2 linked regions of the Saccharomyces cerevisiae S288C genome follow. The gene in region 2 interacts genetically with the main gene of each other region. Each region holds a gene or a part of one and is shown on either strand. Other genes may lie near its edges.

Region 1 (4,152 bases), on a different chromosome or scaffold from region 2:
GGTTTCCATTTCCAAATCATCGTCATCACGGATGAAAAACTCGTAATCATCGTTCAAGAATGACAATGAGCCGTTGAATTGACGTGTGTAATTGCTCAACTTATACCATGTTTTCATGATGGTAGCACCTTTACTGTAAGTTGGGTATCTTTCACCATGTCTGGCAAGCATTTGCAATTGTTTCATTTCACAACCTTCAGGCAAGTCACGAGAAATACCATAGTCGCCAGGGAAAGAGAAGTATGGCCCGGCACCACCCAGGAATGGGAATATGTCTTCCTGAGTGCCAATTTTGGCAACATCGGCTAACTCTCCGAGGGGAATTGTACCTGCATTAACTAAAGCAGCGGCTAGAACCGAATAAACAACAGACTTAAACATAGGTAATTTGGAATGGCCCTTTCTTTACTGTAGTATTTTTTTTATGATAATCAAGGCATAATTGACTTCCATCCAGCAAATTTAAGCACTTATATATGTTGCATAGGACTACTCAAAGCTGTTTACTATTTCCCAAACTGGTATTATTTAGTAAATTTCTTTTGAATTTTTTTTTTTTCACTCTTCCTTTTTTTCATTTTTGCGATGCCAGTTCTTTGAGTTTCCCTTATACGGCATATGCACTTAAGGTTTGATTTTGCTAATTAAAGGCGTGCCTAAGCGGCGACTAATACTGTAATATAATATGGGTTCCTGACTGACTACAGGGATTGAAACATCCATTTACCTGTTTCGGATATCTCTGCAGATTTTAATCTTTCGGCAAAATTTAGATAAAAAATTTGGGTATTCGTATTTAGTTTCCAATATTATTTAGTTATACAAAACTATTGTCTCAATAGACTGGCGTTGTAATGAGTAGTGTTCCAGTCCCAGTAGAAGGTCAATTCAGTAGAGTTACTGACGCTGCTGACGTTACAGACCTTTAGGAAGTCAGTACCGGCTACTCTCTTTTCAGCATAGTCGTAGAAGTCATTGATTTCACAAGAGAACCCTGGACCAGTGGAACAGGTTTCAATTGGAACAACAGCATCGTTAATGACGTATCTGACGTAGGTGTCGTTAGAACATTGGAATTTTTCGGTGTAGACACGAGCACCTTGAGGAACGTACCAGGATCTGTGGAAAGTGTTGCCCATGAATGGAACGTATTCGGCAGTTAAGTTGTTTTTGTCGTCAATTATACCAGCGGTGGTCAAAAAGTTTAGGATATCGGTATCGTGGGTAAAACTCAACCAAACCTTTTGGTCTTGAATCTCACTTTGCTTTAATAATTTGACTGAGGCATTGAACAAGTTGGAACCGACAGACTTGATAATGTCGTAACCTGGACCCTCATGGTAATAAGTGTGCAAGTCTTGGTAGTAGGAGTAATGGACTAATTCATCCTTGGTGAAAATATCACAGACATCACTGTAACCTTTAGCGTTCACTTCAAATGCACACCACGAGAATAAAGTACTAGCGTCAGTTGAGGTCAAGTTCAAACCCTTGTTTTCCTTGTTCAATCTCTTGGCAATGTCATCCAAGTAGGTTGTGTCGTATTCATTTACAATGTCATCATTGGCATCGTAGTCCCAAGCAGGACATGAGTTACAAGCACTCAAAGTGTTGGCACCAGCGGATTCAGCTTCACTGACAGTCTGCAAGGTGATGTTGAATTGGTCACCTAAACCATCAATGAAATATTGAGCAGTGTCATGACATCTCTTAGAATTAGAGGTAAAAACGGCGAAACTGGTTTGGTTTTCGACCATGTAACCGTATTGAGCCAAGAAGTCACGAGCATGTCTCTTGGCGTTCATTTCACCAGTGTATGGGTTCAAAACATCGTCCGAGTTGGCAAAAGTGGTTTCCATTTCCAAATCATCGTCATCACGGATGAAAAACTCGTAATCATCGTTCAAGAATGACAATGAGCCGTTGAATTGACGAGTGTAATTGCTCAACTTATACCATGTACTCTTGATAGTCTTAGCCAGACTGACAGTAGGGTATCTTTCACCATGTCTACCAACCATTTGCAGTTGCTTCATTTCACAACCTTCAGGCAAATCACGAGAAATACCATAGTCGCCAGGGAAAGAGTAGTATGGTCCGGCACCACCCAAAAATGGGAAGATATCTTTTTGGGTACCAATCTTGTCGACATCGGCTAGTTTGCCTAAGGGAATGGTACCTGCATTGGCCAAAGAAGCGGCTAAAATTGAATAAACAACAGATTTAAACATTGGTAATCTCGAATTTGCTTGCTCTATTTGTTGTTGTTCTTATTCTCATGAGAGATGAAGCCATACTAACCTCGACTTAGCAAAACATCAGCGCTTATATACGTTTCATTTCGACAATTCAAAGATGTTTACCCTTATCCCAAATGGGTATATGCCTTGCCAAGTAAGGTGACCAATTTGATAATTTGGCATGTGCGATCTCTTCGAAAACAGGGACCAGAATCATAAATTTAGTCTGTGCTAGTCCCACGTGTGAGTGCCAAGGTTGTATCGATTCATTTAGAGATTGCCTATTCAATTAACTCTTTTAATCACTTTTACTTTTTTTGGCATTGTGCAGTTGCGTTCTATGCGAAAACGTGCTAATTTAATATATATTTCTTTGTGCAGACAAAGAAAAAGCGCTATGAACCTTTTACCTTCGTTTGAAGTTTATAGACGACGTCCGCTTACATGAGAAAACATTAAAGCAGCGCACATAAGATGACTTCCAAATACGTTGACATATTTGCGCATTCTTGTTGAATACAACTTTCGGATCCTTGTAATGCCGGTCTCCGGCGTCCTGTAAAGAGAGCGTGCGACACGCCGCTATTAGCGTGGGGACTGACATCAGGTCAACATTATTATTGTAGCGAGCTACTTTCGGTCAGTAAATAGAACATATGTAGAGATACAAGCGATTATTAGAAGGAGCGGACCTACAACAAAGTTGGGTCACGTTTCTCGCAATTATTACTTGGATGCCCTCCTAGCTAATGCCAATGTGCAGTAGTAACTTATCAGTCCGATGTGTAAAAAATAGAACTAATTTTTTGCGAAAAGATGGACAAAAACCATCTCTGGTCAATTTTCTCACTAAAGAGGGACGGAGTCTCTTGTTTTCTTCTATTAGTGCACAGGGAATGTTTTGATTTTCCCTTTTTTTTTCTTTCGCTTCTTCAACAGTGGTAAAAATAAAAATTATTGGCGATGGGATAACCAAGGAACATTGTATTTAGCAATTGAAAATTACGGTAAAGGCAGCCGCTCTGACTTGATCTCTGACATTAAAAATTCGGAAACAATAAATATTTCTTTTAAGATGCGGGTTTTAATAACTAACGATGATGGTCCCTTAAGTGATCAGTTTTCACCATACATTAGACCTTTTATTCAGCACATTAAAAGAAATTATCCTGAATGGAAAATCACGGTTTGTGTACCTCATGTCCAGAAATCATGGGTGGGTAAGGCTCATCTTGCTGGTAAAAATTTGACAGCTCAATTCATATATTCTAAAGTTGACGCTGAAGACAATACTTTTTGGGGCCCATTTATCCAGCCACAAATTAGGTCAGAAAACTCTAAATTACCTTATGTTCTCAATGCTGAAATTCCGAAAGATACAATTGAGTGGATATTAATCGATGGAACTCCAGCATCGTGCGCAAACATCGGGCTGCACCTATTGTCTAATGAACCGTTTGATCTAGTACTGTCGGGTCCAAATGTTGGTAGAAATACATCTGCTGCTTATATTACCTCTTCTGGTACCGTAGGAGGCGCAATGGAATCTGTTATTACTGGAAATACAAAGGCCATTGCTATTTCTTGGGCCTATTTTAATGGATTGAAAAACGTCTCCCCACTTTTAATGGAGAAGGCCTCTAAGAGATCTTTAGATGTTATCAAACATCTTGTTAAGAATTGGGACCCAAAAACAGATCTATATAGTATCAATATTCCTTTAGTGGAGAGTTTAAGTGATGATACAAAGGTTTACTATGCACCAATTTGGGAAAATAGATGGATTCCAATATTCAACGGCCCTCACATTAACCTAGAGAATAGCTTTGCTGAGATCGAAGACGGTAATGAATCATCATCGATTTCCTTTAATTGGGCTCCAAAATTTGGGGCACATAAGGATTCTATTCAC
Region 2 (4,502 bases):
CCCTTGGTGGAAGTATATGTACTTTTGCGTACCCTAAATTATCAACAGAACTACAAAAGAAAATTCTTGGTATTACTATGTTAGATATTGTAGAAGAGGCTGCCATTATGGCCTTAAATAAAGTTGAACATTTTTTGCAGAATACACCCAATGTATTTGAATCAATTAATGACGCTGTCGATTGGCACGTTCAACACGCGTTATCGAGATTGAGGTCAAGCGCCGAAATTGCTATACCAGCTTTATTTGCTCCGCTCAAGTCAGGGAAAGTTGTCAGGATAACAAACCTTAAGACCTTTAGCCCTTTCTGGGACACATGGTTTACCGATCTGTCGCACTCCTTTGTTGGCTTACCTGTTAGTAAATTATTAATATTGGCGGGAAACGAAAATCTCGATAAAGAATTAATTGTGGGGCAAATGCAAGGTAAATATCAGTTGGTAGTTTTCCAAGATTCCGGGCATTTCATTCAAGAAGATTCGCCTATAAAAACAGCAATCACTTTAATTGATTTCTGGAAGCGGAACGATTCTAGGAATGTAGTAATCAAGACTAATTGGGGTCAACACAAAACCGTGCAAAATACATAAGGGTTAAATATCACTTTTATATCTTTATTTATGATAGAATAAATAACAGAATATATGAACTCGTGGAAAAGTCTTATTTTGCTGTGAGCACTTCTTCTGTGCTAATCAATAGACATAATGTCAAGCGTTGAGCCTTTATGTGCTTCACACTGCTCGACAACTTCATCAATTTTTCTTGAAGCCCATGGAAATCTTGGGTTGATTAAGAAAGGACGTAAGTCAAATCTGTTGTCTTCTGGTGAATACTGTTCAGCATGATAACTAGGAGTTAAAACAGTTTGCTTGTGTCTGTTGATGGCATAGAAGAAGAAAAATCTTTTCACCTTTTCAGATATTTGACGAGGTGTTAACTTTGGGGACCATTGATGAAGAAGTTTTAAGAACATAGAATAAGGACCACATTTTTCAACCTTTCTTAGGTAACCAAACACGCCCAATTCTTCATACGTCATCCCCATATCTATCTCATCCGATTGAACGTAATCTTTAGTCATAGGTTCTAATTCTGCAGTTGGTGTAGCGTTTAAAAAGTCATTCAAGATTGGCATGTTATATTGTTTTGATGCGTAGGCAATGAATCTTTTCAAGTCAGTTTTTGAAATACCCCCAATAGGGTTGATATCTGCGGAGGAGCAGTCATATTTTGTTAGATACCCACGTAAGCACTCATCAACATTTGCGCTACCAAGTACTAACAATCCACCCGAGTTTGGGATACCACGAACCCACGGCAACAGTTGCGCAAAAAGATAAGAAAGAACCATTCTTAGACGCGCCTGGATGTTTTGTAAAGCCAAGTTCTCGATTTGAGATCCCCCAAATATTTTGTATATTGGTTTTTTGCCAGTGGCTACTTCGAATAAGGACACCACACTGGATACCAATGAGTCCATCTTTAAATCCACGTGGTAAGATCCAATTGCATTGGAAAGGTCCTTTGCTCTGTTTCTTGTCTCCTTGGATGAATTTTCCGTACCCATGAAACAGGAGTGAAATATTTTTGAGGCTAGATCCTGTGGACTGTCTGGAATCCAATCATCGCCGCTACGTGTTATCTTACGAACGTCTTTGATAACTTGCTCATTTCCATTTTGAGCAGCGTCGGTCACTAAACGGCACATAGAGTGGACAATCATTGCAGTTGCACAAGAGTCAATGCCCCCAGATAAGGGAAGGAAAAACCCTGTTCCGTTACAACGTCTTAAATAATCCCACATCCAGCAAGCAGGTCCCAGTGCAATTTCTTCCTCAGGAGAGTGATAGAAAGGCTCGCGGACTTTTGTTGGACACACTGTAGGATCAAATCTGGAGGTCATTAAAGCCAATTCTACAGGAATATCAATACGCTTGAACTTTATTTCTGCCAAGGAGGCTTGTAGGCCACGAGACATGACAGCTGCACGATAACTCCTCACCTCTTCTAGGTCCACAGTAGCAGTAACTACTTCCACATCATCTAGCGAAAATTGTGAACCTTGGGCTACAATTGTACCATTGATGGCAATTAGTGCACAGCCATCATAATATAATCTGTCACCATCACAACCTCTTTGATTTGCATACAAGTAAACACCACCACAACGTTTAGTGGCATTTAAAATTAGGTCTAACCTTTTATTTAACTTACGCAGTTCATGATGAGAACCAGATGAGTTTGTCATGATTTCCACACCATCTAAAGACATGGCGATGTGGGGGGATTGAGGTGTAAACAATTCTTCACAAGTTTCTGTACCAATGCATGTATCCAATGAATTTATCACAGCGTCCCCAAATGGCACAAGTCTCTGGCCGGTAACTTTCTGAATCTCAGGTGGAAGGATAAAGTCCTCCACCACGCCAGGTTTCATCCAAGGTGTGAAAAATCTCATTTCCCTATAGTTACCATCATTAGCTAACCAAATCTTAGGTCTTATGAACAATATCTCACCATCCAAGGATAACAAACGACAATTATAACGAACATTCTTGTGTAGAACGGGCATACCAATGTCAAGTATTAATCCATGGGTTTCTTTATTCTTAATGATTTGAGCATACATTTCCCATGAATGAAGGCAAACGTCATTTTCTAAAAAATGATCTAAACATCCGTAGCCAGTTATTTCCAGTTCTGGGCCGACACGTAACCTGGCACCCCTCTCTTTGGCAATCTTAATGGACTGTAGGATACGGTCTCTATTACCTTCAAAATCTAGGGCCCATTGATTCAAGTTGCATGTAGCTAAAGTGATAAGATGTGACATTACTGGCAGGGAGTCAAAAAAAGAATGCCAGGGTATTTGGGGGTATTTTTACAAGCAATATCAATTGATGATGTGAGCATATAGTCTATTTTGAGGTAACCAGTTGATAATCTTATATTTCCCTTCCATATTCCTCTTTATCTTTTTCGACGAAACTATTGGGGCCTCTTGATATGACTTAGCAGGACATATAAAGGATAAGATGTTCCAAGCTATGTTATCTTTGACAAGTTTTGATAGCAATAGACTTTCAATTCCAAATTTAGGCACCTTTTGTAAGATCCTGTGTTCGTAAACTTTTCTTCAAAAAACATGGATCTAACTGACTGAAAGAGTTCATTATCTTTCAATTATGTGATGAAATTCTATTGTTTTTTTCAAGTTTTGCAACTAATCATAAAATAGAATGTTTTTACAGTCAAGCAAACAAAAATAGTGTAGAACTGTTAATATAAAATTAGTGTGAAAGATTGATCAAGAATTTATAAAGTCCTTCATGTTGTATATAGTATACTATACATGAACGCATATACAAGTAATTTGTGTGGATGATCATTAAAGATGGAAAATAAATAGAGTACAAAGGGGGGAAAAAAGTTCACTTGATGTCATCAAGGCATTCACCAGAGTTGAGAAATATCAGACCAATCATGCTTCTTTCTTCTTTCCCAATAACTCTTCGGTCCAGTTATGTATTTCCATTCATTCTTAGATACTTTTTCGAAATATTTAGGCTCCACATCTTGCCCTTTATTACGTCTTTCACGTTGAAGTTGTTCCAATTTCAGCTTCCACTCTTCCGCCTTATCAACATTTCCCTCCTCGTAAGCTCTAATATCTGGTCTTAATCTTGAGTCCGTAGGTGGTAAATTGCCCTTTTCAATTTCAGTTATCTCATTCAAATTTGCGGTGAATTTAGTAAAGCCATATTTCTTCTTCGGATTGCTAACTAAATCACCTACTTCCCATATAGTTTCATGTGTAGTTTCATTAGCTAAACTCTGTGTCCATTTACCAGCTAGAGTTTCCTTCTTGCGATTGCTCGAAGGTGGTGGGATTATCGAAACCTTAAATCCTTCAGATCTTCCACTAAACATACCTGCCTTATCGAACAGGATGTGTGATTTGTCTCCCTTCGAAGAATGTACTTCGAATTCGTTGACAGGCTCCATATATCTCTCACCCGCTATCAAATTTTTTAAAATAGTTGTTGGTTGCGTCCATTCAAATAGTTCTCCAGTTGTCTTAAACTTCAATCTCAGTATACCTTCGTTATTCAATTCAATAGACTTACCCCAAAACTTTTGCGATGGCGTTACAGTGTAACTACACTCCCAGTCGAGATGCTCTGCAAAGAAGGCAAATACTGGAGGACGATGTGAGACCTTTTCCGATATAAGCCTAAACCCCATATCTTCTCGTATAAGTTCAAATGTTTCAGCCAGTAAAGGATTAAAAGGCTTTCTTAGCGTTCTTGTTTTATCCCTATATATGGAAAGAAAGGAAATAGCAAATGCAGAAACAAAGGTTATAGGATCAGGACGTTGGGTAGCCTTCGTTAAAAGTGGAGCATACTCAAATGTTTCTGATATCAACTGCAAAATAGAAATAGGCTCATTTGAGGTTACTGGCATGGCAATAGAGCTCAGATCTTTGCCTACATTCT

The links.
Region 1: mutations in QNS1 (region 2) and PHO5 are lethal when combined (synthetic lethality), as found in Saccharomyces cerevisiae (one study listed by BioGRID).

The regions. Positions count from the first base shown.
Region 1 is NC_001134.8:428,721-432,872, forward strand, and holds PHO5 (acid phosphatase PHO5), read right to left. Parts: upstream 2,232-4,152; coding exon 828-2,231; downstream 1-827. Other genes in the region: acid phosphatase PHO3, read right to left, coding at 1-381; PBY1 (putative tubulin tyrosine ligase), read left to right, coding at 3,316-4,152. UniProt on the Saccharomyces cerevisiae protein: Partially mediates extracellular nucleotide derived phosphate hydrolysis along with NPP1 and NPP2.
Region 2 is NC_001140.6:244,527-249,028, reverse strand, and holds QNS1 (glutamine-dependent NAD(+) synthetase), read right to left. Parts: upstream 2,837-4,502; coding exon 692-2,836; downstream 1-691. Other genes in the region: PPE1 (phosphoprotein phosphatase methylesterase 1), read left to right, coding at 1-590; oxysterol-binding protein related protein OSH3, read right to left, coding at 3,457-4,502.